7 linked regions of the Cricetulus griseus genome follow. The protein of the gene in region 3 purifies or fractionates together with the protein of the main gene of each other region. This does not show direct contact. Links are inferred from orthologs where the notes say so. Each region holds a gene or a part of one and is shown on either strand. Other genes may lie near its edges.

Region 1 (4,826 bases), on a different chromosome or scaffold from region 3:
CTCATGTCAGCAATTCACAAAGTTCAATTCAGATTTTCCCTTGAGCTTCACACCCAGTCACTCAGATGTCCCAACAACTGTAAGGTTTATTACTTTAATGACCATCTCCTAGATCCTCTTCCCTAGCAGTTCTTCATTAGGTGATAGCACTCTTCTGGGTTCTTTGGCGTCTGCTGCTCCTTGATTGACAGTACTAGGAGTCAAACCCAGGGCCTTGTACATACTTGGCATATGCTATGTATACCACTAAGCTGTATCTTCAGCTCATACATTTTTAGCCACACCTTTAATTCTGTTTCCACTGCTTCTTGTGCCTCTCCTTATTGTAGATGTACACTGACTAGATTGTAAGAATCTATTGAGGTAGCTGGGCGTTGGTGGCGCACGCCTTTAATCCCAGCACTCGGGAGGCAGAGGCAGGTGGATCTCCTGTGAGTTCAAGGCCAGCCTGATCTACAGAGCGAGTGCCAGGATAGGCTCCAAAGCTACACAGAGAAACCCTATCTTGAAAAACCAAAAAAAAAAAAAAAAAAGAAAAGAATCTGTTGATGTCAGCTGTCTTGCCTGTTAGATCATATGCTTGAGGACAGAGTCTGACAGCTGATGTTCTTTCTATGCAAGTTAATGGGAGAGGGGCATATTGGAGAAGGAGGCCATAACTTAGGAGAGGGAACAAGCTTACTATTTGGCTCTGGTATTGAAACTAACATCTAAAAATGGAATGGAATTAAAATGTTTTGGAGGGATATAATGACAAAAAAAAACATGCTTTTGATTACTGATGAGGCAGATAATAACACAAAACAGGATTTTCCTACTTATCAACCCAGAACACACAAAAGAAAACATATATAGAAGCTTTAAGATGAAAACTATATCTGATTAGTATTTTCATTCTCTAAGAACATATATTTTATAAAGAGAAGTGTACAAACAAAACAATTGGGTGGGCTGGGTCAAACTGACAGCCTGGAGCCATAAAAGGAAATTCCCTCCAGTCCAGGGATGCAGATCTAAGGGGCGGGACGGGGCGGTCTGTGGCTTAGGCTTGCAGCCTCCGGATGCCTTAGTGCTGTGGTCATTTCCTGTAAGGGGGCTGGAGGAGGGGCCTTGAGCTGATCCAGACTTGGTCACCCAGAATCCCTCAACAGCTGAAGGAGGTATGTAGCTTTAAAAAAATTGTTCCTCCAGTTAGCCCTCATCTGCTAACACAATCAGCAAAACCTTTCCCAGGATGTGAGTATATCCCTTGCTATCAGTCTTGTCTCCCAGACTTCTCATGTGTTCTGACCTAACAGCCTCCGGCAGTCTTGGCCTCAGTGTAAGCCCAAGCTTGAGAACAAAAATAAATGCACTGAGTTTTGCTCACTGTCACCCCAGGGCCTAGATTTCTATCTCAAGAAAGCCTGTAGGATATTAACCACCACCAACAACACACCCTGTCCCCTTAAGCCACCAAATCTTTCTGGTTTCCCTAATGATGCCCTTTCACCTTTTGACAGCAAGGAATCTTCCAAAATGTCACTCCCACTGGGGACAACAGCCTAAACTTCTATTTCCTTACCAACAAAACATGTCTCAGTGTGTACCAGAGCTTACGAATCATGTGAAAAATGAAACTGAATATTACAGAGAAATAACACAGCCTAAAGGGAACTGGTGAAACCTGGCCTAAGATGACAGATGATCCTTTACAACCTAAAAAAGTACACTCTTCTAGTCACACATGGTGACAGCAAACTGAAAACCCAGCACTCAGGACGCTGAGGCAGTAGGATGGAGGCCACTCTGAACTACATGACACCCTATCTCCAAAAGCAAACCAAAACCACCTACTAAACTTTCCCAACAACACTTTTCTTTCTTTCCTGTATCAGCCAGCATTTTAGAAAGTGTTCATATTTTCTCCGTTTCCTCGCTTCTCATTCACTTTTCTCCTTTCCAGAAGCCTGCCATCTCGAGGGCATTGATTATGTCTGATTTAAGGACTCTAGTACCCACTATAGGTGGTGTTCCTTATTTGAAGGAACCCAGTATAAAGCAGGTTCCTGTTAATTTTCTGCAGTTTCATTTACAAGATCAAATATGACCTAAATATAAGTTAACTGAAGAACATAAGATACTCATTCATGTTCTTTAACTTCTCAGAAGCCTATGCTACAAGTGACCAGCTCATTAAAACATTCTTTAATCTTAATCCATTTTCCTATTTCTCCTTCAGAAGGTTGATACCTGTCAGTTGGATAGGCTTCTAATCCTCTGCTTTAATTTCTTGCTCTTTTGAGGTACTATTTTTCACACTATAGAATCTTCAGATACCATTTAAATGATATTTGTGGTATCTTGGTCTCCAAGTCAGACTTCTCCTGAAATTCAAATCTACACAACCAACAACCTGCCCAATATTTCCCAGTTGCTGTAGTGCCACCATAACTGTATCAGTCCAGACAGAACATCAGCAACTTCCAAGTATCCAAGTGCCCAAACCTCACAAACCCCAGGCCATCTTTGACTACCCTCAGTTCCCATGTCAAGTCAATTACTTCATCCTTATGACTCTGGGAGAATCTCACCACTTCTAGTTTTTCAACTGTCCGAATTCTAGTCCAAAACATCACTTCAAGGCAACTTCCAGGATGACATTAGACAAATGGACAGTCTCATCACCACACAGCTTCAGAACTTTGCTTACAGACATCTGTCCTTTTTCACTTCTATCCAATGCTCCAGGGCACAGAAACCTATTCTCCAACCACATGTAATTCCAGGCAATTGCCTGACACTCTGGCCTGCCATTGACATGAGTTCACAGAGGCTGCAAAGCAACCCGGAACCTCTGAATGTGAAGCTTAGTTAATAAATTCAGTTCAGACACAGCTTCCTCAATGTAGATACCCCTCCAACAGTCTGTGCTTACTATACTCTTCACACTAGATGGCAAAATCAGCTGCCCCCGCCCGACATGAGCACCCCACGTAGCGGAGAGTAGACTGACAGCCCTTCTCTCACTCTCCAGCGCTTCAGCTCACCCCTGATTGAGGTCGTTCTCTGTGTTGTCCAGCCACAAGCGCACCGCCACCGCGTTGCCCTCCCGGCACTGAGTGAAAATGTCGTCCATAGCGGCGTCCCGGACAGGAGAAGCCTTGGGGGACTGCGGGAAAGCAGAGACAAGAGGATGAGCTCTGCTCTGTTCTCTGCAGAACAGAGTTGTCTGCTCTGGGATGGGGGGCTAGGCGTTGCGAGAGTGACAGTGGTCGTCTGTGAAGGACTTCGGGCAGCGAGACGACCACTGGGCGCGAGGGACAGGCAGGGTGTGGCGGTATAGGAGGGACTTTGCTAATCTCCTGAGCCGGTGTCTGTGGGCACCGAGTCCCGACCCGCGAGCACGGCTGGGGGGGGACGGACGGGGGGGAGAACAAGCTGCAAACACCCGGAGGAGGAGACAGAGGACCTTCCCGGGCGGCCCCGGCTCCCAGCTCGTAACTGCTGCAGAGATCGCAGAGATGGGTTTGCAGGGCCAATGTGGGGCAGGGCGCAGAGACACCCGCACTCACCGGGACTCGGGCCGCAGGCGCCTTCTCCGGGGAACTCCCGTCCGGCCGCGCCCGCCGCCCGGCCCCGCCCCGCCCCGCCCCGCCCGGCCCTCTTGGGCCAGAGCGGGCCACCGTCCCTCCCTTCCGACCTCCTACTGCCTCTCTAGCTCCCGGCAGCTGCACTCGATGGTGCTCTGCTCCGCGCCGGCCGCTCTAGCCACCACAGGCTTTCACTCTGTGGCTTCCGGCTGGATTTGGTTAGGGTCCAACGCTACGATACCCTGACGGGCTTTGCACGTGGCCGTGGCGTGGGCTCCGGCGACCCTGCCCTCCACTGGCATGTTCGAGGAGCCCGAATGGGTCGAGGCGGCCCCAGCAGCCGTGGGCCTCCGTCCAGCGACAACACAGAATCGGCCAGCGACTGCTCCGCCAGTCAAGGTGAGCGGCCGGGGACTGGGCTGTTTGAGGTGGCGAAGCCGACCCTCCCGAGCCGCCCTTGTGCGTGTTGGGGAGACCGAGAGCCTGCAGTGCTGTCGTGGATCGGGATGGAGGGAGTTAGTCCTTATCTGAAGATCCGGAAACTCCCCCCCCCCCAAAAAAAAAAAAAACTGACCTTAAAATACAGTTGGTGAGAAGTTGGTACAGAGGAGAGAGCGTACCTGAGATGGAGAAAAACCTGGAGAAGCCCAGGGGTTAAACACACCGAGTTAGAGTGTATCAAGATAGGAATGCGAGGTTCGGAGGGTGGAGTACAGAGTAAATGAAAGGTTTGAAAAGTAAGTTTTCGTACGCTAAGGGTAGAAGTCAATGGAGTTGCTTTAGCAATGGAGTGGTTTCGCCACATTTTCTATCACCAGGCATGACTTTATACTGGAGATCAGTTCCAGGGCTTGGTAAGCAAGCATTCACTACTGAGCTGCACCCCCAGCTTGGAAAGGTTCTTAGTTGCACTGTAGAAAGTATATTGGACACAGTCAAAGCAGGTGGCAGGGATGGTTATCAGGATCACTATTTTAAAAAAGGTATGGGGAACCCAGAATTTCCGAGGTAAATGCCTGGCCGAGGATCAGCAGCAGGACTTGAACCACAAGTCAGCTTCACAGAAAACAGGTCTTTCTTTTCCTTTGAGTTTCATCGAATGTGAGAACTATTGTATCTCCTTTGGGTATTCCTGACTTTTAGTCAGCCCAGGGTGTTCTTTTAATCTGTATTCCATCCTTCTAATGCAGGCCGCTGGCCTGCCTGTGTGCAGCCTCATCCTACCTGGCTATTATCGCTACTGCAGTTAGGAAC
Region 2 (4,842 bases), on a different chromosome or scaffold from region 3:
TTCATGTTGCTCTCGGCTTCAGTGAACTCCATCTCGTCCATGCCCTCGCCGGTGTACCAGTGCAGGAAGGCCTTCCGGCGGAACATGGCCGTGAACTGCTCGGAGATGCGCTTGAAGAGCTCCTGGATGGCCGTGCTGTTGCCAATGAAGGTGACGGCCATCTTGAGGCCGCGTGGTGGGATGTCGCAGACGGCGGTCTTGACGTTGTTGGGGATCCACTCTACAAAGTAGCTGCTGTTCTTGTTCTGCACGTTCAGCATCTGCTCGTCCACCTCCTTCATGGACATCCGCCCACGGAAGACGGCAGCCACGGTGAGGTATCGGCCGTGGCGGGGGTCACAGGCTGCCATCATATTCTTGGCATCGAAGACCTGCTGGGTGAGTTCAGGCACAGTGAGGGCCCGATACTGCTGGCTCCCACGGCTGGTGAGAGGGGCAAAGCCAGGCATGAAGAAGTGGAGACGTGGGAAGGGGACCATGTTGACCGCCAACTTGCGGAGGTCGGCATTGAGCTGGCCTGGGAAGCGGAGGCAGGTGGTGACCCCGCTCATGGTGGCCGAGACGAGGTGGTTGAGGTCCCCATAGGTCGGCGTGGTGAGCTTGAGAGTGCGGAAGCAGATGTCGTACAGGGCCTCGTTGTCGATGCAGTAGGTCTCGTCGGTGTTCTCCACCAGCTGATGGACAGACAGGGTGGCATTGTAGGGCTCCACCACGGTGTCAGACACTTTGGGTGAGGGTACCACACTGAAGGTATTCATGATTCGGTCGGGATATTCTTCTCGGATCTTGCTGATGAGCAGGGTGCCCATACCAGAACCGGTACCTCCACCCAGCGAGTGGGTCAGCTGGAAGCCCTGCAGGCAGTCACAGCTCTCTGCCTCCTTCCGCACCACGTCCAGGACAGAGTCAACCAGCTCAGCTCCCTCCGTGTAGTGACCCTTAGCCCAGTTGTTGCCTGCCCCAGACTGACCTGGAATGTGGTGAGAAGGGAAAAAAATTACGTCATTATCATTACTAATCTTCACCTTTCACCTCTGGAATCATGCCCTTGGGTACAAAGGAATTCATTCCATGTAACTCACCGAAAACAAAGTTGTCTGGTCTGAAGATCTGGCCAAAAGGACCTGATCGAACGGAGTCCATGGTCCCGGGTTCTAGATCCACCAATATGGCCCGAGGGACATACTTGCCACCTACAGGGATTCAAGTAGAACTGTCAGAGCCCTCTGCAGCGAGGATGAAATCTGGGGTGGGAAATACCACAAACCACTAAACTGCCATTCCAGGCACTGCCACCCGGCGGCAGCAGAGCTAATCTTTGGCCCACTTATGGTGGGTGTCTAATGGAAAAGGGTGAGACCCCAGCAACCGGGTTAACAGGCACTTAACGTGGGAAAACAGGGCGTGGTGCGGCCGCCTTTAAAAGCAGCATTAGGGAGGTAAGTTCCAGGGCAGCCATGGCTGCATAACGAGACCCTGTCTCAACAGAAGGGCGCAGGGTTTAAAAAGACCAGGGATAAGTGTTAACAGAGAAAAAAGAAGCTGGATTCCCTCCCTCACCTGTGGCTTCATTGTAGTACACAGAGATTCGGTCCAGCTGCAGGTCGCTGTCTCCATGGTAGGTGCCGGTGGGGTCGATGCCGTGTTCATCGCTGATCACCTCCCAGAACTAGACAGAGCAATGAGCAATGAGCCAGGCCTCAATGGCTGAAGTCCTAAGGGATGCCTCCCCGCCCGCATTTCAACTCTAGACGTGCTCAAACGAGGCGGACGGGTTGATACTGCAATTCCGTTATCTGCCTGCCGAGCCTCCACGACCGAACCTCCAACCGGGGAAGGTCGCCACCTTTGTGGCCCTGGTCAAGTGATGGACAGTTCAAGGGGCTGAGGGTTGCAAGCACCCATATGGGCTGACTGAACTGCCATCCGCCCCCTCGGCTCAGCACCCAGCCAAGCGCTTCAGGGTGGGCACCGCCCCTCCAGGCCAGCACAAAAGAGGGATGGGGTAGGAAGGTGCGGCCACTGCAGTCGCCCACCCCTTACGCGTTCCACGTGACTGCGGTGGCGGGCCGCTCTTCCAGCAGCCCACAAAGGCGGGAGCAGCGTGGGCGGGGCCTGGCACGAGGGGCGGGGCCAGCGCGCCCCCGCCAGCAAGGGCTGCATTGTCCCTGCGCGCCAGGGGCGCTAGCCCCGCCCCCAAAGGGTCCCACCCTTCGGCTACAATCTAGCGGCCGCACTTCCTCCTCTCCACCCATCCCCCGCTACATTGTAATTGCGCGCAAAAAAAAAAGAGAAAACCATGGCCTCAGATTTTTTTTTTTTTGCTTTTGCTACCTTCTCTTCCCTAAATAGCTTTCCCCCAAACACACACATAGTCCCGAGGGACCTCTTATAGACACACAAACCTCTCACTTTCCCATCAGGTCACACCCTAAGATTTCTTAACGGCAATGAAGTAAAAGGAGCCCCCCGCACGGAATCATCACCATCCACCTAAAAGCGAGCCAGGGGATGGCGAGATCGCGAGGGTCTCCAAGCCTTTGTCGAGCGGTGATGCGGCCCGGAGACCTCTGCAGCTGCCCGCCCAACCTCTCCCCTGCCCCCGCCAGTCCTGCTCCGCTAAGGCCCTCCAGGCTGGGTGGGGGTGGCGCAAGGGGAAAACCTCGCTTCGGCTTTGTCTCGGATCGTTTCCGCATCTCTCCTCTCCCGTTCTCGAACCGTTAGAAATCCCCTCTTTTAGATAAGCACTCCAGTCCCTCCTCAGACTCTCCGTCCCCTAAACCCAGGCGTCTCTTTTAATGGCTTTCGGAAAATGTGCCAAGATAAATATTTCTCAGAACGCAAGCTACAAATATGGGTTATAATTGTTCGCGCAGAACTTTGAGGGGCCAAAGCCGGCGGAGGGAGAATGCTAACACCCGGTAACATTAATCATGATTAACCTGGATTTCTCATCCTCACGCGTATCCGGTACCAATTTAAAAATTCTTACCTTAGCACCGATCTGGTTGCCACATTGGCCGGCCTGGATGTGCACGATTTCCCTCATGGCTACGGTTTACTGTAATAAATTTGTGCTGGCTTCAAGGTAGGTACCGAGCAAGAAAAGATAATTGGTTCTTTTTTTTTTTTTTTTTTTTTTTTTTGGCTGGTCTCAGGCTGAAGGGATGGAACGTGGCTCCGGAGGCTGCAGCAGAGAGATGCGAGCACGACCGCAGGAAGGTTCTAAGAGGCAGAAGAGGCCGGCGAGCGCAGGAGGGAAGGCGCGCAGGGCGGGGCGCGCGTTCGCGCAGCCGGGGGCGGGAGATAGGCGGGAGCCCCTGGTCGCAGACAAAGCCTCTCCAGCCTGCCGCTGATTAGATCCGCCGATCACGTGCCAGCCGACCATTGGTCTGTGAGCCAGTGGCGAGCGCAGTCCTTTTTGGGAGTTGTAGTTCTCTATTGTCCACGCTGCAATATGAAGTTAGGCATGGGTGGATACTGTGGGAGGTTTAGTGGGTACCTTTCGTGTGGGTGTGATTGTATTTATTTTTAATGGAAAGTGACCTCGCACGAGATTCCTATCCTCTGTTCCTGAGAGAGGTTTTTGTGCTCTAAGAAGTTTTGGGACTTAACGGTAATTGGGATGTCTGAGGTGCCCTGAATTGGAGATGGGATGGGCGCGCCCTGCAAGCTGCCCACCGCAGTGGCTCTGGTAAAGGCGGACTGCATAGCTCAGCGGAAAGTCCGGAGAAATGTGGCACCCTGCCCTGATCTTACTATCTAGTTCTTTGTGGTCCCAAGACAGTAACTTCAGTGAGCAGCACTCCCTCGCATCCCTCCAGAAGAAAGGATGGCCCTCCGGCTCCTAAGGGAGTTGTCCCAAGGATGTTTCGAGAGAGAAACAAAATTGCAAGGATTTTTCAGACTAGAAGTGTTGCTTGGGACCGATGTTCAGAGAGAGAGAGAAAGCTGTAAACCTCGGCGGCGGGGGTGGGGTGGGGTTGGGCCTTTGGGACCACGCTGAAGACACCATGGTCGTCCTATCAATACAGACGATGAAATGGGATGCTTCTCAAGACACTTGGGTGAAGGAAGCCAAGTGGTCGTTTTCAGTTGGTTGGTTCTATTCGTTACGGGAGGCTGTGGCAGAGTCCAGGAACTGAGAAATGGGAGTCAGAGCCCAGAAGCTTTTCCCAGGGTTTCATTTGATAGAAACTGAGTATCCTGAAAGTGTAAGAGGGATACAAAATGATTCTAAGAGTCAGCAGGGGTGGTTCACACGGTTAACACCTGCTTTGTAACTCCAAGGCAGGAAGATCTCAGGAAGTACAAGGTCAATTGGGCTACTTAAGAGAGTTCCTGTACAGCCCGAGGTACAGCTTTAGACCCAGTTTCAGAATAAATAAATAATAAATAAATGAGTGGAAAATTAGTTTGTGTCCAACCTCCCACACAGTAGGATGGTTGAGGCAGAAGGATTCTTGTACGCTGAAGGCTAACCTGGTCTACAAAGTGAGAGCCTGTCTTGAAAACAAACCACACACGGGGCTGGAGAGATGACTCGGCAATTAAGAGCATTTGTCCTCGGAAAAAGAGCCAGGTTCGATTCCCATCACTATTTAAGGCTTTCCACTATGGGTAAGTCCTGTTCCAGGGAGCCCGGCACCCCCTTCCGCCCTCGGCAGGCATGTGGCACTCAGATAGTGCAGAGACAGACATCCAGACAAAATTCTAATACACATGAGTAAATACCTCCTCAAGAAAGAGAAAACAAAGGAAGGGGTGTGGTAAGCAGTATCAGGTCGTGAAGGAGAGGTGTGGACAGACAGGCAGGAGGATCAATGAGTTCACTGCTAACCT
Region 3 (3,159 bases):
TGCCACCACAGAGCTGCAGGGACGGACACACATGCCCTCCTTACTCACACAGGATAGGGTGTTATGCTGCCCTGTGCACCTCACCCAGTCACTGGGCCTGCCCAGGCCCTTGATTGTGCCCCTGTGTTGACTACACCTACGCCCTCGCTCCTGACTATCCCTGGAGGTCTCCTCACGTGTTAAAAGCTAGCTGAGAGTAATGTTTAGGTACCTCTAGCTCCAAAGGAGCCCCATCCCATTCTCTTGGACAGTACCTGTCTTTCTGGCATAGTGGAGGCCACTGGCAAAGAGCAGAGCCCCTTGTGCTTACATCTGTTGGGGTGCCCTTCGGCTCCTGAGCAGCCTTGGGCCAGGCTGATGAGGTATCCACACTGTGTGTTGGGTGCCCTGTCACCAAGCCTGCCCCTACCTTGAACGATCCCTTCTAGGTCACATGCGAGCAGCTGGAGCCCTGCCCTCTGATCATATGGGGGTGTAGATGGCATACCTGCCCATACCAGACTAGAGGTCCCTTGAGTTGACATGTGACATGTGACAAAATCACACCAGATTTTGGGGGGATGGTATTTGAGGAGCCTTGCCTGTGGGACCTAAGGGGATGTTAGCAACCTCTATATATGCATCACTTTCCAGTTTGCCTCTTCTCCCTGGTATGTCAGTGAGGCAGGTGAGCTCACCAGAAGTCTGGTCTCCTTCCCCATTTATAAGAAAACTTGCAAAGAAAGTGACAAGCAGAAAAAAGGAGATAGGATCCTGCTGCCAAGAGATGGGCACAGTCACTACCTTCTGCCCCTTGGGGCTGCCCTGGGTGCCGTTTTCCTTGTCTACAGTGCCCACCTACTTCCACCTAGAGCTGAGCCCTTGTGTTAGTGGCTCGCCCCTCAGGAAGTCAGTATTGCCTGGAGATGGAGAGGGGCTGGAACGCTGTGAATTGGAATTTGGAACGGAGTTGTAACCAGTCCTCTACTGTTCCTCCACAGCTGAGCCCACCTTTCAAGCCCCAGGTCACCTCTGAGACTGACACCAGGTATTTCGATGAGGAATTCACAGCCCAGATGATCACTATCACACCGCCTGATCAAGGTGAGGGCCTCCCTGCTCTGAGGTGCCTGTGTCAAGCTTTATAGACTCCAGTTTGGGGGTGGGGTGGTAGAGTTACAGGTTGTTGTGAGATGCCACATGAGTGCTAGAATTGAACTTGGGTTCTGTCAGAGCAGCCAGTGCTCTTAACCACTAAGACTTCTCTCCAGCCCCCAATATACTCCGTTGGAGGGTGGTAGAACTGGCTGGGAGGGAGCACTCTGAGGGCCAGGGTCACTGTGCCCACGTGTCAGACCTCCGTATGTCCTCCGTTATGTGGCAGGTGGGAGGGCTGTTCCTGCAGTCCGGGTCTGAGCCATCTCTTGTCCCCACAGATGACAGCATGGAGTGTGTAGACAGCGAGAGGAGGCCACACTTCCCCCAGTTTTCCTACTCAGCCAGTGGGACAGCCTGAGGCCTGGGGCAGCAGCTGGCAGCTATCACTCCTTTGCATTGCGAGTCCAGAAGCCCCGCATGGATCATCTGTATCTGATGGTTTTGTTTCTTGGAAGCGCTGGGGAGGAACCTTGCCAGCCTCCAGGACCAGGGGAGAATGTTTCTACTGTGGGCAGCAGCCTACCTCCCAGCCAGGTCAGGAGGAAAATTATCCTGGGGTTTTTCTTAATTTATTTCATCCAATTTGAGGGCACATGTGGCCTCAGTGCCCAGAACAATTAGATTCGTGTAGAAAAATATTAAGGACTTCTGAGACCATGTGCAATGTGGGCTCATGGGTCTAGGTGGGTCCTGTCACTGTTCCATCGACCTGGCTACCCTGGCTGCCACCTGTCTTTAGGGTCCAGGGCCACCGTCCAACCGGAGGGCACCAGAAACACCTCCCTGTTGTATGCTGGCTGGCTCTCTCCCTCCCTCTGGGGTGGGCTGGCTGGGGCTCACCTAGGTTGACAGGAACAGTGATGCAGTGTGTTGCTGCCTATCACACTGTTCAAAGACGTTTTAGGGGATTTCAATCTCGGTGACAGAAGAGCCCCTGCCTCCCCCCTGTGTGGCAGCTCTTGGGAGCACTGAGAGTGTCTGCCTCATGAGCTCTTCTCTTAGCACTTGTCCTTTAGATGCTTTCCTTCTCCAGCTGTCCCCCTGGCCTGTCCCCTCCTGGCCAGACACTGTGGCCATTGCTGCACCATGTCGTTTTTTACAACAGTCAACTTCAGCATTTTTACTATTATAATAAGAAACTGTCCCTCCAAATTCAATAAAAATTGCTTTTCAAGTTTGTGGTTTGCTTTGCTGGATGGTGTGGAGTGTGGAGCCTGTCTGTTGGGTTTGGAGGTGAAGGGATGTGGCTAGGGTCACCTGAGGCTCCGGTGTACCTCCTAATGACAAGTGGGGAATCCTGTCTGTCTTCCCTTGACTTTCCCCAAAGCGTGCCACTTGCCAGCCCTCTTTGCTGTGTCTAGGCAGAGCAGTAAGCTGGACCTGGATACCAGGAAGGATAACAGCATAATGGGGTGCAGTCCAGAAAGGACTCAGGAGGCCCTGGTTGAGTCATATAGCACTTCTGCGACTGAACGGAACTGAGGACCATTCTGGGTTTGGTTGGAGGTGACAGGAGCCAAGGTCATGCTAGAGTGTCAAATCCCAGCAGCCTCCCGATACACTGGGTATGCTGTTGGTGCCACCTGGTGGCTACTTGTAGAACTGCAGCAAGAGATGAACAATTGCCCAGCAAAACAATTATTAGAGGCCCCCAGGTGCTGGGCTCCCTGCTGGTATGGAGGACTGCACATGTACAGAGAGCCCAGTGGCTGGTGGCCTCACTGGGATGGTGTCTGACTCTTGCAACCATAGGACTTGATGATGGCCTTGACCTCTGGAAGACACTATCCTCTGGGTGACTTCTAGAGCCTTTCTGAAGGCACACACAGCACTGCATACTGTACTTCAAGTTACTAGGGATCCATAGAAGACAGACACCAGACACATGTGGTGGTGTACACCTTTAGTCTAGCACTCAGAAGGTGGAGACAGACAGATCTCAAGTTCAAACCCAGCCAGGCCTACCTAGCACTGGACATTGGAGGGGGGGGGGCACACACATGGTAAATAGTGTTCTCTGTG
Region 4 (3,781 bases), on a different chromosome or scaffold from region 3:
GTCAAAGTCTCAGCTGCTTTCAGGCACACTTTGCGGTGTCTCCTCTCTGGTAACTTGGAGGACTGCTGTATAAGACCAGCCTGAGGGATGAAGAGTCAGGGGATCTGTCCAAGGTGCCAGGAGTTAGTGGCAGGGTTGGGTGAGGGAAGTGTTCAGGTTAGAACGAACTGGGAAGAGCTACTCCTCAGGGTCCCCCTTCCGATCCAATTAGGGCCTCCAGTTCCCACTGCAGTCTTCCTCACCCGACTGACACGCACCTTCCCCAATTTGCTACAAAGGCCCTTTCAAAAGCCAGTTGTCTCACCCATCCCTATTGGGGCTGGAATTCCTGGGCGACCCCTAGGTCTCCATAGCAACAGCGGTGATTTCACTCTGGGCTCGGCTTACCACCCGGGTGAGGTCACTGGCCGTTGCCAAGGTAACGGGAGGGTGCAGAGAGTCCGGAGGGGAGACCGTGGGAGCGGAGAGGCGTGGGCGGTACCTTCTGGCCTGGGGACGCGGCCTCGCTGAGGGGCGGGCGAGAGCGGCCCAGTGCTCGGGCCTCTGCTCGGCTCTCTGTCTCCCTCCCCGCGCGGCCGCAGAATGGACTCGTCCGGCGGGGAGGCGGGGCACACCAGCATCAGACCCGCCCCTCCCGCGAGACCCCTCCCCCGCTCACAAGTCCCTCCCCTGACGCCCCTCCGTCCGCGCCGCGCAGCCCCCGCGCACCGGGCTGCTGTCTGCGGGTGGCAGCGGCAACGCGGGGAGCCGGCTGCAGGCGGAGATGCTGCAGATGGACCTGATCGACGCGGCAGGAGACACTCCCGGAGCCGAAGACGACGACGAGGAGGAGGACGACGAGCTCGCTGCCCAACGGCAGGGAGTGGGGCCTCCCAAAGCCGAATCGGGCCAAGAACCGGTGCCTCGCAGCCAAGGCCAGGGCCCGGGCACGGGCAGCGGAGACACCTACCGGCCCAAGCGGCCTACCACGCTCAACCTCTTCCCGCAGGTGCCGCGGTCTCAGGTGAGGCAGAGCTGAGGGGGCGGCGCCCTGGGTGGACAGGGAAGATGGAGGGGCGTGGGCCCTGCTGGTGGGGGTCTAGAACCTTGGCACGGGTGCCTGGAAAGGTTCTAGGTTTTCTGCTGGTAGGACCAGAGGAAGGGTTTGACGGCGGGCAGCAGAGTCTGTTCTGGCAAGGGATGAGTCCAGTTGGCTGCTTATGGAGCCTGGGAAGAGTCGAAAGGGTTGCCAAGGATTCAAGTGGGGAAGAGTCGCAGGGGACTAACAAAGGAGTTGGGTTCCTACATTTGTGACAAGGTCCTCTTTGGGTTAGGGGGCTTCTGTGAAGGTTGAGGCAGCAGCAGGGCCTGGAGAAAAGAGCATCTGAAATGGGATGAAGACGGGAATGGGAATTCAGGGTCTGCAGCCAGCTGGACATCTCAGCAGCTGGACATTCCAGAAAGCCATAGAGATGGGGGATGGAGTTGTTTGACTGAGCTGGGGACCTAGGGCCCCTGGCAGGTGGCTGGATGCCAAAGAGGACTGCCTTGACCCATTGTCTTGTAGGCCTAGGCACGAGAGGTACTGGGAGAGGAGGAGCTGGGGAGGTGGAGTTGCTGGTGTATAGTTGAGGAGCTGCAGAGAAGAGCTTGGTCCCTTTCCCAGTATCCTCTGGCATGGTTTCTGGCCGCTCAACTCATAAATGTGTGTGTTGCTTATGGTGTTCGCTGGAAAGGGAGCCTAAGTTGTGTGTGGAGAGCCCTGTGCATGGGCACTGTGCAGGGGTCCCAGGGGGCTCAGAATGTGGGATGCATGAGCATTCTGGGAGATCCAGGAAGGAGGGCTGCTGACAGTACATCTGTCATTCCTTAGTCACGTGGGGTGAAGTGGGGGTGAGTGTTATGGAGTCATAGTTTGAATGATTCATCCGGGCCCACAGGCCAGCTTATCGGGATACCCTTCCTTGTGCCAGAATGCCCCTACCACCCCAGATTTCTGAGTCAGTCACCCTGTCCTTTACCATGTCTGGGTTTGAGCATCAGAACATGTCCTCCCTCAGTGTCTGTGCTGCTGTCTGACTCTCCTGGGGGCTGTGCTTCTCCCTCCACATCCACTAATCAGCACCCACACTGGCCAGCACCACCATTGCATCTCATGACAGCTGTCTCCAAGCCAGCAGGCCTCTGGGGAGGGTGGTAATTTCCCACCCTGCCTGCCGGCTAGAGGAAGGTTGGCAGAGAGGCCTTTGGCAAGGCCAGATGGGGTGGGAACAGCACAGGGATGGCCTGATGCGGGCAGGCCCAGGGCCTCCCTGTGCCGGGCACTGCTGACCACTTCTTCATAAGAGCCTTTTGTTCTCTGCACAGGACACGCTGAATAATAATTCTTTAGGCAAAAAGCACAGTTGGCAGGACCGCGTGTCTCGATCATCCTCCCCTCTGAAGACAGGTAAGTGAGACCTTTCTCTCCCTGAGCTGGAGACCCAGTAGTCTTCACCTGGCCCACCACCTGGGCTGAGGTCATCAGGGAACCAGTAACTGGCTACAGAGCCTGCTGATAGAGCACAATGGGGAAGAGGAGGGGACAGGTATATGAAGTCGGGTCCAGCTCTCAGTACCAACTTGCCTGTCTTCTAGGGGAGCAGACACCTCCACATGAACACATCTGCCTGAGTGATGAACTACCACCCCAGAGCAGTCCTGTCCCCACCAAGGACCGAGGCACCTCTACTGATAGCCCTTGTCGCCGCAGCGCTGCTACTCAGATGGCACCTCCAAGTGGTCAACCTGCCACTGCACCTGGTGGCCGGGGCCACTCCCATCGAGACCGAATCCACTACCAGGCAGATGTGCGGCTGGAGGCAACTGAGGAGATCTACCTGACCCCGGTGCAGAGGCCGCCAGATCCTGCAGGGCCCACCTCCACCTTCTTGCCACCCACTGAGAGCCGGATGTCAGTTAGCTCTGATCCAGACCCCGCTGTGTACTCCACAACTGCAGGGCGGCCACATCCCTCCATCAGTGAAGAGGATGAGGGCTTCGACTGTCTGTCATCCCCAGAGCGAGCTGAGCCACCAGGTGGAGGGTGGCGGGGAAGCCTCGGGGAGCCACCGCCGCCTCCACGGGCATCACTGAGCTCGGACACCAGCGCTCTGTCCTACGACTCGGTCAAGTACACGTTGGTGGTGGATGAGCATGCCCAGCTTGAGCTGGTGAGCCTGCGGCCATGCTTCGGAGACTACAGTGACGAAAGCGACTCTGCCACTGTTTATGACAACTGTGCCTCTGCCTCCTCACCCTATGAGTCAGCCATTGGTGAGGAGTATGAGGAGGCCCCTCAGCCCCGGCCTCCCACCTGCCTCTCAGAGGACTCCACCCCAGATGAGCCTGATGTCCACTTCTCTAAGAAGTTCCTGAACGTCTTCATGAGTGGCCGCTCTCGCTCCTCCAGTGAGTCAGTGAGCAGGGAATGGTGGGGGGGAGCCTGGCCAGGGAGAGCTGAGATGGAATGGGGCCTCAGATATCACGTAGTCTGTCCGAGAGCAGGACAGAGCTTCCTAGTTGTCCCGAGCTGAGGTCACCTCCTCCAGCCTATTGACTTCCTACAGGTGCTGAGTCCTTCGGGCTATTCTCCTGTGTCATCAATGGGGAGGAGCATGAGCAGACCCATCGGGCTATATTCAGGTGAGGGCTGCCCCTTCCTTGCTGTACTGGCCCACCACTGGCATCCCCTCAGCTGCTGGGGGACGGTATCCCCTGTAGGAACTCAGCTTAGTGACAAAATGCTCAGGTGTCATGAGGA
Region 5 (4,052 bases), on a different chromosome or scaffold from region 3:
CCGAAGCTCTCCAGCCACCACACTCTCAGGCTTGATTCTACTGGCAGGCTACATTGCTTTTGACAGCTTCACCTCAAACTGGCAGGATGCCCTGTTTGCCTATAAGATGTCATCAGTGCAGATGATGTTTGGGGTCAATTTATTCTCCTGTCTTTTCACAGTAGGCTCACTACTGGAGCAGGGGGCCCTCCTGGAGGGAGCCCGCTTTATGGGACGGCACAGTGAGTTTGCACTTCATGCCCTCCTCCTCTCCATCTGCTCTGCCTTTGGCCAGCTCTTCATCTTCTATACCATTGGACAATTTGGAGCTGCTGTCTTCACCATCATCATGACTCTCCGCCAGGCTATTGCCATCCTTCTCTCCTGCCTCCTCTATGGCCACACTGTCACTGTGGTGGGGGGACTGGGAGTGGCTGTGGTCTTCACTGCCCTCCTACTCAGAGTCTATGCCCGGGGCCGTAAGCAGCGGGGAAAGAAGGTTGTACCAACTGAGCCCCCAGTGCAGAAGGTATGAGGACTAAGGACCCTCACTCTGGTTTTCTGTAGCTTATCAGAGGCGCTGACTCAAGGGCAAAATTATTTTCAACATCTCAGTGTACAGCAGAGGATTGGAGCCCTGGAGGCAGCCTCTTTTGCCTTAAGAGCCCCACCTACTTACTTGGTAGTTGTGGGTCTGAGTTATGGAGATAATCCAGATAGAGCTCCTCCCCACAACCTGAGACCTTGGTTTAGCTGGTAGAACTGTAAACCAGCACCTAGCCTTTGCTTGTTTTTCCTTTAACACCCAACCCGCAAGACTGCCAGACATAGCTGGTCAAGAGCAGCACAAAGTTTACAGGTCCTAATGTGGTTGGGGGGTAGGGGGGCACACTAGTGAAAATGGTGCTGTGCCAAACAAAGCCCTGCCCAGCCCCTTTGGGGCCTTTGTGTTCCTTGCTCAAGTTTTGCTACTTGGGAATGTCACCTTTTGCTCTTATTTGATTAAAACTGCAGCAGTGACTTGGCCGTGTGTTGGTTGGTTGAAAGGGGAACTACCTCCCATCCTGAGTGGTACTTTACAAGGAGAATAGTACTATATGAAACTGCATTTTCTTTATTTTCACATACTTTTAATTTCAGAACAAAATAAAACAAACAAAACCACAATACACAATACCCAACCCTGCTATTCTGTGGGAGGGGACTTTCCTGCCTTAAGGCACAAGGACAGGATAAAGAGATCCTCTAGCTTGAACAGAGAGCCAGGTAGGTTGGGGCCAGCCAAGGCATGGGGGGTGGGGCTCAGGGAAACTATACAGAGGACATGGTCTTCCCAGGGGATCTCTAATCTACTTCTTCCATGCGGGAGGCATCCTCATCACCCTCGAGTGGGGGGATCTCATCAGGAACAGCAGCACTGGGCTCCTCTGCTGTCACCTCATCTTCATCGATACCTAGAAAAAGAAAAATAAATCTTGAGCAAAATGGTAGTACTAAGTCTGTGCGGGGATCCAGCCAGTCCAACAACTTGCCACCTATGTGGCTCACAAGGCTGACTCACCCAGGCCTAGTTTGATCATGCGGTAGATGCGGTTGGAGTGGGTTTGGGGATCCTCAAGTGAGAAACCAGAGGAGAGCAGAGCAGTCTCAAACAGCAGCACCACCAGATCCTTGACAGCTTTGTCGTTTTTATCTGCCTCAGCCTTCTGCCTCAGAGTCTCCACGATGGGGTGGTCAGGGTTGATCTCTAGGTGCTTTTTGGCCATCATGTAGCCCATGGTAGAGTTGTCTCTGAGTGCCTGGGCCTTCATGATCCGCTCCATGTTGGCTGTCCAGCCATAGGTGCTTGTCACAATGCAGCAGGGTGAAGACACTAGCCTATTGGAGATGGTCACCTGTGGACAACCAAATGGTCAGTCACAAGATGTAGCCTTGGCTGTCCTGACACACACTCCATGTGGAGCCACATAAAAAGTTCTTTGTGGAATGACAAAACTTCAGCTGCTACTCTGGATGCTGGGTTAGGGTCAGGGAAACACACAACAAGGCCTTTTCTTGCATGTATGATTTAGATGGTGTAATCACTGTTATATGAAAAAAAGTTCTTACTTCACCAACAGATACAGTATTGCTGGGGGAAGGGCCCCACACTAACTGTACAACAGCATAACATTTCTAGAGGACAAACTTCCAACAAACTTACCTTCTCAACCTTCTTATCCAAGATCTCCTTCATGAGCTTGCAGAGATTCTCAAATTTTGCCTTGCTCTCCTCCATTTTCTTCTTCTCTTCCTCATCTTCTGGCAGCTCCAGGCCTTCCTTAGTCACTGAGACCAGACTCTTTCCATCAAACTCCTTGAGCTGTTGCACGCAGTACTCATCAATAGGCTCAGTCATGTACACCACTTCAAAGCCTCGCTTCCGCACACGCTCCACAAAGGCAGAGTTGGCTACCTGCTCTTTGCTCTCACCTATAGGATTAAAGACTCAGTGACCAAAGGCCTTTATAACTGCAACATGTCCTGTCTTCCCCAATCCCACACCTTCAAGGCAGCTTTGTGCTCAGACCCAAGCTCCCTCCAACATACCAGTGATGTAATAGATGGACTTCTGTGTCTCCTTCATGCGGGACACATATTCTGACAGGGAAGTCATCTCATCTCCAGACTGAGAGGTATGATAGCGCAGCAGCTCAGAGAGACGCCGACGGTTAGTGGAATCTTCATGGATTCCAAGCTTTAAGGGTAGGAAAGAAAAGTCCAAATATGAGCTGAAAAAAATACTTTCAACACAAAGTCATCAGAAGAAAAATCACTTGCTCACTATACCTTTAAGTTCTTGGAGAAGGCCTCGTAGAATTTCTTATAGTTCTCTTTGTCTTCAGCCAGCTCAGAGAAGAGCTCAAGGCACTTCTTCACAATGTTTTTACGGATAACTTTCAGGATCTTGCTCTGTTGGAGCATTTCTCGAGAGATGTTCAGGGGCAGGTCCTCAGAGTCCACCACGCCACGGATAAAGTCTACAATCAACCAGAGCCAAGGAACAGGTGAGGTGGGTCAGACCTGGTCTGGTTATCAGATTTAAGTCACCCAGCCAAGTGAAGGTTTGGGAAGCCAAGGACTGTAATTATCTGGGTTAAAGATAGTCTCAGCTGTATGCTGAAGGTATACTCACTGAGGTACTCGGGGATCAGCTCATCACAGCTGTCCATGATGAACACACGACGGACGTACAGTTTGATATTGTTCTTCTTCTTCTTGTTCTCAAAAAGGTCAAAGGGAGCTCGCCGAGGAATGAAGAGCAATGCTCTGAATTCCAACTGACCCTCTACAGAGAAGTGCTGAAAAACCCAGTAGTACATTTCAGGACAACATCACCTCAAGTCCCAGTATCAGAGATCTATCACTGAAATGCCACACCCCAAAAACCCTACGATGAGAAACTAGCTCAAATACTAAGTAAACCTAGAATACTAGTAGCAAAAAGTATCCCTCCATGGCAGTCATGGCCACCACCAGAAGGTAAAAAAGTGAATTAAACCACTGCCAAGCAAGGCCTGAGTAGTTCCCAGAGACAGTCATGATGTCCAGTTGAACAAGCTGCTTGGTACCACCTCCAGCACATTCTATGTACCCCTCCAATTAACATACCATGTAAGGTTTCTCACCTTGACTGCCAAGTGGTCCTCCCAATCATTGGTGAGGCTCTTATAGAATTCACCATATTCTTCTTGAGTGATGTCATCAGGGTTTCTGGTCCAAATGGGCTTAGTCTTATTCAACTCTTCCTGATCAATGTATTTTTCCTTAATCTTCTTTGTTTTCTTTTTCTTATCTTTGCCACTGTCATCTTCCTCATCTGATCCCACATCTTCAATCTTTGGCTTTTCCTCATCATCCTTATCTTCTTCCTCTTTCTCACCCTTCTCTTCTTCTGCCTCATCATCACTGATCTCCTTCTCTCGTTCCTTCTCCAACTAAATTACCAAATTGGATAATGAGTTGTGGAGAACTTATCACCAGCAAAGACTGCTCAAATACTGCCAAGTCCATACTCACATAGAGGGTGATGG
Region 6 (3,485 bases), on a different chromosome or scaffold from region 3:
ATTACGAGGGGGTAGGTTCTGATGCAATCTGCTAACAGCCTGGAGCCCCCAGGCTGCAGAGGGACACCCTTAGAAGTGAGATAGGTTATAAGGAACTCTGCATTCTCATATTCTCCCCTAAGTTGGGTCCCACGGTTGTCCCATACTCACTCTTGCTCAAGCTGAGCCACAGGACACTTGTACTGCGCGGTGCTGAAGAGGCAAATGTCGGCATACTGTCTCACTGTGGGGTAGGGGACCAAGTGGCTTTGGGTGAAGTATAGACTACTACTGTACCACAACTCCAGACCACATGGTGTGAACCCCACTTGGGGGCAGCACACCCCCACCTCCTACCCCTGGCCAACAGCCCTCCTATAATAAACACTAGGGCTGGGCATCATCTGGGAACAGACTAAATTCTTTATGCCCTGGTAGTTCTCCCACACTGGGATATGGCCTGGGCTGAAATGGCAGCAGAAGCCCCTTGTAATCAGGGACTTCCTTCCCCACACCCATGTCCACCCCCACCTCCTACCAGAGACTCTAATCTTCTTGACGGTCTTGGCCGAGTTGTTGGTGACATGGACGTTGACATTGAGTGGCTCCCCGTGGTAATACAGCTTTTGAAGGGAGGGGATGACACAGTTTGCACTTGCTTCAGTGGCTCCAACTTGGGTACCTCTCTGATAGAGGCTGCTCTGCCCCACCTCCAACCCCAGTCCATAGCACCTCCACCCAAGTGAGGCAACCACCTTTAAAAAAAAAATCCCAAACCACCATCCTGCCTGTCGCTTCACCCCTCCCCCAGGCTCTGGCCTGCTTTGTGGCATCTCTGTCACTCTTTTACACCTCACCTCTTTGTCCAGGGAAGCCTCTAGGTGCAGGGACCTCCGGTCAGACATGAGGAAGTGGCGTGTGGTTTCTGCTGAGGGCTGGGGGCCAGGTATCTCTGGAGCAAACTGTACCTTTCTGATGATAAGTCGCACCGAGTTCCTGAGTCAGGGGGTGGAGCAGGGGAAGGGTTAGTTCCAAGACACTACAATTCAACTAAGATTCCTACCCCCAACAGGCGCCAGGGGCTCCATAAGGCTGGGAGGGAGTTGTTAAACCAGAGACAAAGTTTCTCTCACCTTTTGTGGCTTTTTTCTTCTAGAGATTTGGCACAGAAGGCACGAATCTCAAAGTCGACTCCACAGGCCTTGGAAGGGGGAGGAAAGGCCACCTCTTACCCAAGGCTCCTGTTGCCACTTCCAACACACCCCTTCCTTCCTACTTGCTTCATTCCCCTTAAGTGTGAACTTTTGCCCCATCTCGGAAACACGGACTCTCTTGCCCCACTGTCTCCTAGTCTGGCACCTTACAGAGGCTGGCTCATGGCAGTGCATGGAGGAACCCCCATACCCAGGTACATGTTCCAGATGCAGTGACCACACCATGCACACCCATGTCCATGGGGACACCTCCTTGTCTTCAGGACCCCCCTAAACTTCACCCTCTGGTTCAGTTGTGTTTTGTGCTTCTGCTGAGCCCAGTTCTGTTCACACACTGTGATAGCTGTCCCTCCCTTACCTTCCCTGTGTCCTCTGGTCCTGGCTGCAGTGTGACAGAGCAAGGCAAATTCTGGGGTAACTGTGGCAGAGAAAAGGAGGGGTTTCAGTCCCTGGTAACAGGTGCCTCATCCCATGTCAATCCTGCAGCCCCCCCCCCCCCCACTCCTCGGAGAAAAGGGAGCATCCTCACTGTGAAAAAAAAGGGATGGGCATGCTGGCCCAACTTCTTCAGCAGTCGGTCCTGTAGCCGGGTGGGGGGCCGGGGTGGGTTGGGCATGGGGGGAAAGGCTTGGTAGGTGGCAATGAACAGATCTTTGCGGAAAGACAGGCCCAGTACATCCAGGTCTTCTCGGCCATAGCGGAAGGCGCAGGTGAGGGTAACAAACACTGGAAAGCGAGGGCAAGGTGGGATGATCAAGAGACATCCTTCATGTCGCCCACATCCTTCCTCAGCACGACAGACTTCCCTGAATCCTACCCCCTGCTTCTGCCTCAGCCTTCCATCTGTCTGGGACACCCTACCAATGCCAACCCATCGAATTCCTTCTTCTTCCTGCCTCCCCTCCAGCTCCTGGACTTGGGTCTAGTACCTTTGCGGTCCTTCAAGTAGTCAGGATCCACGAGCACCACGCCATCTAGGAAAGGGAGACGTGGATTCATTTTCTGAAGGCGGCCTTTCCCCATCCCCAGAACCAGGAACCTCCTCCCTCCTGGGGGGATGAGCTACCCCCTTCTAGGCAAACTCACCCACAGGATCCACTTTGTCCAGGTGGTCTACAAAGTCGCGCTTGCCCAAGTACACGGTGAGCTGAGGATGTCAAGGGTCACAGGCAAAATTGGGGAGGATGGTGGCAAGCCACCAGAGCCCTCAAAGATGGCGGCCCTGTCCTGGGCTCCCCTTGGCTGGGTTATCAGGAAGGAGTTTCTCCCAGTGTTATTGGAAGGTGAGAGTGGTAGGGCTTTCCAGACTATTCAGTAAAGCTTTCATTTAGGCTTTTGTCTGCTCCTCTGGTCACTTTTCATACCGCTGTCCACCAAGCAAGGACAGAGGTGTATGTGTGTATATGTGTGTGTTCCCATGTCTTCAGGGAGCACTCAGTCAGACCAGGCAGTTAGCAGCTCTCCCCACAAAGGGCTCTGCAATAAACAGGCCACAGCCTGGGGAACTATTAACTTTTCCTAGTCCCAAGTACCCTGGGTTGGTTCCTAAGAGAATTACAAGCTTGCTTAGGAACCTAGCCTGGTCCCCACCCAGCCCTGTGGCTTCTTCAGACTGTGGCAAGGGGCTTAAGGAGGGAAGGAAGTCTGCTTTTAGCTGTCACAGGAAGTGGGGAGCTAAGGGTTGGGGATCAGCTGGGGGTAGGTTGGGCTTTGATAGGGCCCAGGAAGGATCGAAGCATAAGCACTGTGGGTGACTCACCTTGCAGTTAGGGCTCGACTTCTTGAAGACCCTAACAAAACAGAAAGGGAGACCCCACTGCCTCCCTTAGACTCAGCAGGGACCACCACACCAGGACTTATCCCTCCCTAGCCCAAGAAGTGGAATTCACCCTGGATCCCTGGTCTACCCTTCCCACTTTTTTTTTTTTTTAACAAAGTCCCAGTATTTTCCACATGGCAGCCCCTTGAAGCCAACTGTCAGGGCAAACACTTGCTCCTTTGATTTGATCCACCTCTACAGTAATGGCCACTGGTTGCTCCAGGAACCATCTAGACTCTCCCGAGGGCACCGTCCCCAGAAGAAGATGGGAACTAGATGGCTATCCAATGTCTGGGTCAGACCTAACACACTTTTCTTTTGAGACCGGGATTTAACTATGTAACCCTGGCTGGCCTGGAACTTGATATGTAGACCAGGTTGGCCCCAACTCTGAGATCCACCTGCCTCTGCATCCCTGATGGTGAGATGAAAGGCGTGAACCACCACCCTCAGTTAAACTAGCCACTTTTCAA
Region 7 (4,937 bases), on a different chromosome or scaffold from region 3:
GGGTGGCGAGGGGGGGGGTGTAGAGGAGGAAGGGAGGGAGAAGGAAACTGGGATCATCATGTAATTCAATCTTGCTTGTAATTCAAATATATAAAAAATTTTAAAAAAGAGCACCACCTGTACATTCACTACATTCCCTTCTAAAAGGGACCTGCCCACCTCCCATCTTTCTCTCTCTCTACCTGTCTCTTCTCTTCTGCCACTCCTGTCCCCAGAAGCCAGTCTCCCCTCTCCCCTTCAGTTCACTTCCCCCAATAAAAAACCCCTCCACATCTGTAGAATGGTCCCAAAAGCATTAAGCTCAGCCCTATTTACAAAAGCAGAACTTCGGAGAAACTCTAAAAGTACAACAATGGGAGCTGGATATGGTACACCTGCTATAGTCCCAACTATTCTGCAAACTGAGGCAGAGGGAACTCTCCACCTAGCAACACAAGAGTTTCCTCTCAAAACAAAACAAAAATATTTTTAAAAGACACAAGTAAGAGATCTAGTTAGGAAGAGAAAGGGAAACAATAGAGGTAATGGGCAAATACAATAAAAATGGAATGTCATAATAAAATTCATTGTTATGTTATTAATATATGCTAATAAAAACATTTTAAAATATGTCTGTTAAACCACCTAAGGAAATATGCAGGCTTGAAATTTTTAATTGAGAATATTGTGAAGACATTTTAGCTATCAAGCACCCAGGTAAAAAAGGTGGGTATGGTGGCAGGTACATGTAATCGTAGTGCTGGGAAGGCGTAGACAAGCAGATCCTTAGGGCTTGCTGCCCAGCCAGCCTAGCCTACATGATCCCATCAGAGACCTAGATCTCTAGGGTAGACACTATCTCAAAAACAACAAGCTAGGTAGAAGCTGAGAAGGAACAACACCTGAGGCTGTCCTCTAGCCTCTACATGCATGCATATACAAGAGCAGCAGCACACACATAATCACATACAATAGGGCTGGGAAGATGGCTCAGTAGATAAAGCCCTTACCCTGCAAGCTTGAGGACCTGAGTCCAGATTCCCCAGAACCCATGGAAAAACTGGGCATGTGCAGCGGTCACATGTACTCTCAACACTTAAAAGACAGAGACAGGATACCTGGGGCAAGCTGGCTTCCTAGACTACCTGAATTAACAAACCCAGGGTTCAGAGAAAGATCCTGGATGGTAAGCAATCAAGGAAGATAAATCAATTTTTGGCCTCCGTTCACATGAGCACACATACACAGACATGCAAACACATACATTACAACACATATACACACAAAAAATAAAAGCAAAATTGAGGATTTATCTTAGTGGTACAGCATTTGCCTACCAAGTGCAAGGTCCTGGGTCCAGTCTCCAGTCCCCAAAAAAATCATTGTTTTAAATTAAAAAACAGGGGCTGGAGAAATGGCTCAGTGGTTAGCACTTTTACTGCTCTTCTAGACAATCCAGGTTCAATTTCCAGCACCCACGCAGTGGCTCTCAAACATTAGTAATTCCAGTTCCAGGGGACCCAATACCCTCTACTGACAGCAAGCATACAAGTGGTACACAAACACATGCAGCCAGAACACCCATATATATAAAAACAAATTTTAAATTAAAAACAACAACAACTGAAAGTACTTGTGGTTCAAGCTTGCAACCACCAGTTAGAGACAGGAGGAGCCCATGTTTGAGGCCAGCCTGGGCTACAGAATAAGCCTGACTCAAGTTGTAAACTAATTACATGGAAAATTCAAGATAACCACTACATCGAAAGTCACCGATAGGGCACTGTGCAAACCATTCTCTTTATAGTCTTTATGGGCTATAAAAAGTACACTGGGTAAAAGAAGTTCAGACAGTGTATTGGGTCTTAATTGTAAAAAGATAAAATTATGCTGACCAATACAACCACGAAATTGCTGCAAATCATCTGAAATAAATATAACTTAAGACTTTACACTGAGAAAGTCATTAAGCAAAATTTAAACCAGCTGTGAGATAACCCAAAATGTGGGTGTCTCTTTCTCATACTGCCTGACAGGGGATATTACGTCTGAGCAACTGGCCTATGAAGACAGCTTTCAGAATGAGAGAAGAATAAATCAATTCTACAATCAGAGCCCAGTTTCAACTTGGAAAATCAAAACCGGCACAAAATCTATGGCAAAAGTGTCATCCAGCAAAGCAAGCTCTAGCCCTTTTCTTTCTTTTTTTGTGGGGGAGGGGGGCACACTCCACTATAAATGCATATAAAATATATATTTCTCAGCAAGTATTATTTAAGAAATCCACCAGCAACACTGTTCTATATTCCTTACTATATACGAAAGCTGGCAAAAGGATGAAGTTGACGCAAGTTAGAGACCACCTTTTAAAATACAACAGATTTCATTCCGTACTGAAAAGGAAATTTGTTTTATTTTCCCAGACTGTCTTCAGCTAGAGCAACCATATTAGCATCATCCCCAACGCACATTAACAGGGCTTTTATTTTGATGACTTTATTCGGGCCAAGTCTGCAACCCAAGGCTCTGCAGCCCAGGCGCCTTCCGTCACCCGCAGGGCACAGCTCAAGTGACAGCCTCGGACACCGACACACCGCGGGGAGCAAGACGCACACCGCTGCGTCCACCGGCGTTGCACACACGGCCTCGCAGCCCCTTCCGAAGAAAACTAGCCACTGCGGTCCCTGCGTGCCAGGCCTCCTCGGAAAACGCCACGACCAGGACTTATCTCGCCACATCGTACCATCCCGATAAAAACAGCACCTCCCGTGAAATGCAAGGGAGACCCGGCGCGGATTCAAGAGCCAGGCCCCATCGGAGACAGCGAAGGCCGCTCCATCCGCGGCCCAGCCGCGCGGGCCTCCAGCCCGGCCCGGGAGTGTAGGGCGCGGTCCCCGCAGGCAGCGACCCCGGGCGGCGGCGCCCACCTGGGCCGCGCGCGGGCACCTGAGGCGCCAGGCCCGCGCTAGGCCGCGCGCTGTCCTCGGCCACCGCCGGCACCTTACCTGCGGACTGTCTTCCAGCGTCTCTTCAATGGGCAGCTTGTCGATCCCCGGCATCGTGGCGAAGGCTGGGCGGCGGCAGGACACTCAGCAGCCGCCCACAGCTCGGCGCGGCGCCCCGCCTGCAGCAGCTGACCCGGCCCGCCCTCTCGCAGACGCCGCCGCCCCAGTCAGGCGCTCAGAGGCCACCGCGCGGGAAATCCCGCCCTCCCGGGCCTGTCAGTCCCGCCTCCCGCACGCCCATTGGCTCGCTGCGACGCCCGTCAACGCGCGGGGCCGACCGGGGAGATTCCTTCGCGACCGCTCGCCCTCCTCAGAGGTGCGACCCGCGCAGACCGCACTGCCTGTGAGCGCCGATCTTCCCGTACTTGAGAGTGTAAGGGGCTGTCTGTCAAGCCCGCGCGCGGTTAGCCTGAGCTTGGGGTGAAAAGCGCTCGAGGGGAACTTGAGGCAGTTTTATGTCTGCACCATATTTCGTCAGCAACCTTGGAAAAATCCCTACCCCTGGCCCCATAACCTTTCCAACCCTGCTCGAGTTTTCAGTCTTAACTCCTGCAAAAGTGGTGCTAACTCACAAACCTCTGAAATCCAAACTTGTGTCATTGGGTTTACAGTTAATTTGTAGGTAGTAGACCCCCAGATCGTTTTTTTCTGGACACACACCTGGTTATCAATACATACACTCAGTTTAAAACCCTTGCGTTAACAAATCATTAATTCTTACCTGGCCTTAAAGTTTGATGTGCTAAAATTATGGCCATCGTATCTCCTATATATCACAAAGGAAAACGTCTTTTTAAATAAAAATTAAAAAGACACAGTTGCTGGAGAACGTATCTCCGTCAGCATTTCTGTTTCACCAAAAGGTTTTGGAAGAGACTTAAATAGCTTCCCGGTTCTCCTTGACTGTAGAGTGCCGTTCACACTGTTGGAGATTGGGCATGTAAGGGCTGGAACGCTGTTCTTTTTTCTGTTTCAGCCTTGTTGCATCCTTTTCTCCAGCTTCACACTGCTTTATTTATCGGTGGCGTTAATCAAAGTATTTATCAGTATACAGAGAAAGTGGCAAAATCACTAATATTTCCCCCAAAACAATCTACCCATTAACCCCATCAGTCTCTTCCACTGTCATTCACAAAAGTACGGTCACCGAGAGAAGAGCATTAGCTTCCTTATTCTCCTGCTACTTCAACTGAACCAAATCCAAACACCGTAGAGCAAGTCCGTATATGGTCATAACGAGCATGAAGTTGCATGTTTGAAATTAAAGCTACTAGATTTCCCCCATGATCTCTTGAAAGATTAAAACTTGTTTCAGAAGTTTTATGACAGACTTGTATTATAGTGTCACAGAATTGTCTTTAGTGTTACAGTCCTTTTATGAGAACTCACCCCTTGGATTCTCTACCAACTAGTCACCCTGTTGAAGAGACCCTTGGCTTTTGAAGAAAGGTGGCTTGGAGCCAGTTCTTACTTACATTGCATGAAAGGTTTCAACTTGTATTATGGGTATCTTATTCTTACTACTTCTTTTTACTAGGCCAGCACAAGCAGGATACAACTGGCTATAGAGGAGCAAAGCTTTCAAGCAGGGTGTGGTGACACATATCTGTCACCCAACATTCAGGAAGAAGAGGCCCAAGGATCCTTGCAAGTTGAAAGCCTTTGTCTAGCTATGAGTCCCAGGCCAGCCAGGACTCTATAGTGAAACCCTATGCCAGAGAAACAGAGAAATGGTGGAGGGGAAAGATGACAAAGAAAACTTTCAGTAAGTGACCTTCTTGCTTAAACTGTAATTTGTAAAAGGGAAAAAATGCAAGATAAAGATAACTGATAATAATCAAGAATGACAATTCTCAAATTATGAGAAAGAAGAGTAATTAGTTGGTGTAACAAGAGGAATTAACTAATCAACCAACTTGGTCAAGCCATAAATAAATAAATAAATAAATAAAT

What was found.
Region 1: the proteins of Akt1 (region 3) and Ilk purify together in Homo sapiens (affinity purification with western blotting; 3 studies listed by BioGRID). This does not show direct contact. The link is inferred for Cricetulus griseus from reciprocal best matches to the Homo sapiens genes AKT1 and ILK.
Region 2: the proteins of Akt1 (region 3) and Tubb purify together in Homo sapiens (affinity purification with mass spectrometry, with the first as the bait; 3 studies listed by BioGRID). This does not show direct contact. The link is inferred for Cricetulus griseus from reciprocal best matches to the Homo sapiens genes AKT1 and TUBB.
Region 4: the proteins of Akt1 (region 3) and Mapk8ip1 purify together in Homo sapiens (affinity purification with western blotting; 3 studies listed by BioGRID). This does not show direct contact. The link is inferred for Cricetulus griseus from reciprocal best matches to the Homo sapiens genes AKT1 and MAPK8IP1.
Region 5: the proteins of Akt1 (region 3) and heat shock protein HSP 90-beta purify together in Homo sapiens (co-immunoprecipitation; 3 studies listed by BioGRID and IntAct, with this or other methods). This does not show direct contact. The link is inferred for Cricetulus griseus from reciprocal best matches to the Homo sapiens genes AKT1 and HSP90AB1.
Region 6: the proteins of Akt1 (region 3) and beta-arrestin-2 purify together in Homo sapiens (affinity purification with western blotting; 4 studies listed by BioGRID and IntAct, with this or other methods). This does not show direct contact. The link is inferred for Cricetulus griseus from reciprocal best matches to the Homo sapiens genes AKT1 and ARRB2.
Region 7: the proteins of Akt1 (region 3) and Appl1 purify together in Homo sapiens (affinity purification with western blotting; 3 studies listed by BioGRID, with this or other methods). This does not show direct contact. The link is inferred for Cricetulus griseus from reciprocal best matches to the Homo sapiens genes AKT1 and APPL1.

What each region holds. Positions count from the first base shown.
Region 1 is NC_048596.1:93,963,438-93,968,263, forward strand, and holds the start of Ilk (integrin-linked protein kinase), read right to left. Parts: upstream 3,145-4,826; 5' UTR 3,119-3,144; coding exon 3,030-3,118; intron 1-3,029. Other genes in the region: Rrp8 (ribosomal RNA-processing protein 8), read left to right, coding at 3,873-3,971. UniProt on the Homo sapiens protein: Scaffold protein which mediates protein-protein interactions during a range of cellular events including focal adhesion assembly, cell adhesion and cell migration.
Region 2 is NW_023276806.1:229,740,363-229,745,204, forward strand, and holds the start of Tubb (tubulin beta-5 chain), read right to left. Parts: upstream 3,236-4,842; 5' UTR 3,050-3,235; coding exon 2,993-3,049; intron 1,670-2,992; coding exon 1,561-1,669; intron 1,194-1,560; coding exon 1,083-1,193; intron 971-1,082; coding exon 1-970. UniProt on the Homo sapiens protein: Tubulin is the major constituent of microtubules, a cylinder consisting of laterally associated linear protofilaments composed of alpha- and beta-tubulin heterodimers.
Region 3 is NC_048598.1:181,401,156-181,404,314, forward strand, and holds the end of Akt1 (RAC-alpha serine/threonine-protein kinase), read left to right. Parts: intron 1-980; coding exon 981-1,083; intron 1,084-1,415; coding exon 1,416-1,495; 3' UTR 1,496-2,314; downstream 2,315-3,159. UniProt on the Homo sapiens protein: AKT1 is one of 3 closely related serine/threonine-protein kinases (AKT1, AKT2 and AKT3) called the AKT kinase, and which regulate many processes including metabolism, proliferation, cell survival, growth and angiogenesis.
Region 4 is NC_048599.1:84,351,371-84,355,151, forward strand, and holds part of Mapk8ip1 (C-Jun-amino-terminal kinase-interacting protein 1), read left to right. Parts: intron 1-343; coding exon 344-418; intron 419-671; coding exon 672-1,003; intron 1,004-2,346; coding exon 2,347-2,428; intron 2,429-2,616; coding exon 2,617-3,429; intron 3,430-3,587; coding exon 3,588-3,663; intron 3,664-3,781. UniProt on the Homo sapiens protein: The JNK-interacting protein (JIP) group of scaffold proteins selectively mediates JNK signaling by aggregating specific components of the MAPK cascade to form a functional JNK signaling module. Required for JNK activation in response to excitotoxic stress.
Region 5 is NW_023276807.1:31,884,685-31,888,736, forward strand, and holds the end of heat shock protein HSP 90-beta, read right to left. Parts: coding exon 4,039-4,052; intron 3,957-4,038; coding exon 3,648-3,956; intron 3,321-3,647; coding exon 3,155-3,320; intron 3,000-3,154; coding exon 2,809-2,999; intron 2,717-2,808; coding exon 2,569-2,716; intron 2,452-2,568; coding exon 2,183-2,451; intron 1,875-2,182; coding exon 1,541-1,874; intron 1,434-1,540; coding exon 1,324-1,433; 3' UTR 1,078-1,323; downstream 1-1,077. Other genes in the region: Slc35b2 (adenosine 3'-phospho 5'-phosphosulfate transporter 1), read left to right, coding at 1-514. UniProt on the Homo sapiens protein: Molecular chaperone that promotes the maturation, structural maintenance and proper regulation of specific target proteins involved for instance in cell cycle control and signal transduction. Undergoes a functional cycle linked to its ATPase activity.
Region 6 is NC_048600.1:84,234,312-84,237,796, reverse strand, and holds part of beta-arrestin-2, read right to left. Parts: intron 2,984-3,485; coding exon 2,953-2,983; intron 2,341-2,952; coding exon 2,280-2,340; intron 2,168-2,279; coding exon 2,123-2,167; intron 1,920-2,122; coding exon 1,723-1,919; intron 1,612-1,722; coding exon 1,552-1,611; intron 1,181-1,551; coding exon 1,113-1,180; intron 976-1,112; coding exon 837-975; intron 603-836; coding exon 518-602; intron 224-517; coding exon 151-223; intron 1-150. UniProt on the Homo sapiens protein: Functions in regulating agonist-mediated G-protein coupled receptor (GPCR) signaling by mediating both receptor desensitization and resensitization processes.
Region 7 is NW_023276807.1:192,714,950-192,719,886, reverse strand, and holds the start of Appl1 (DCC-interacting protein 13-alpha), read right to left. Parts: upstream 3,039-4,937; coding exon 2,985-3,038; intron 1-2,984. UniProt on the Homo sapiens protein: Multifunctional adapter protein that binds to various membrane receptors, nuclear factors and signaling proteins to regulate many processes, such as cell proliferation, immune response, endosomal trafficking and cell metabolism.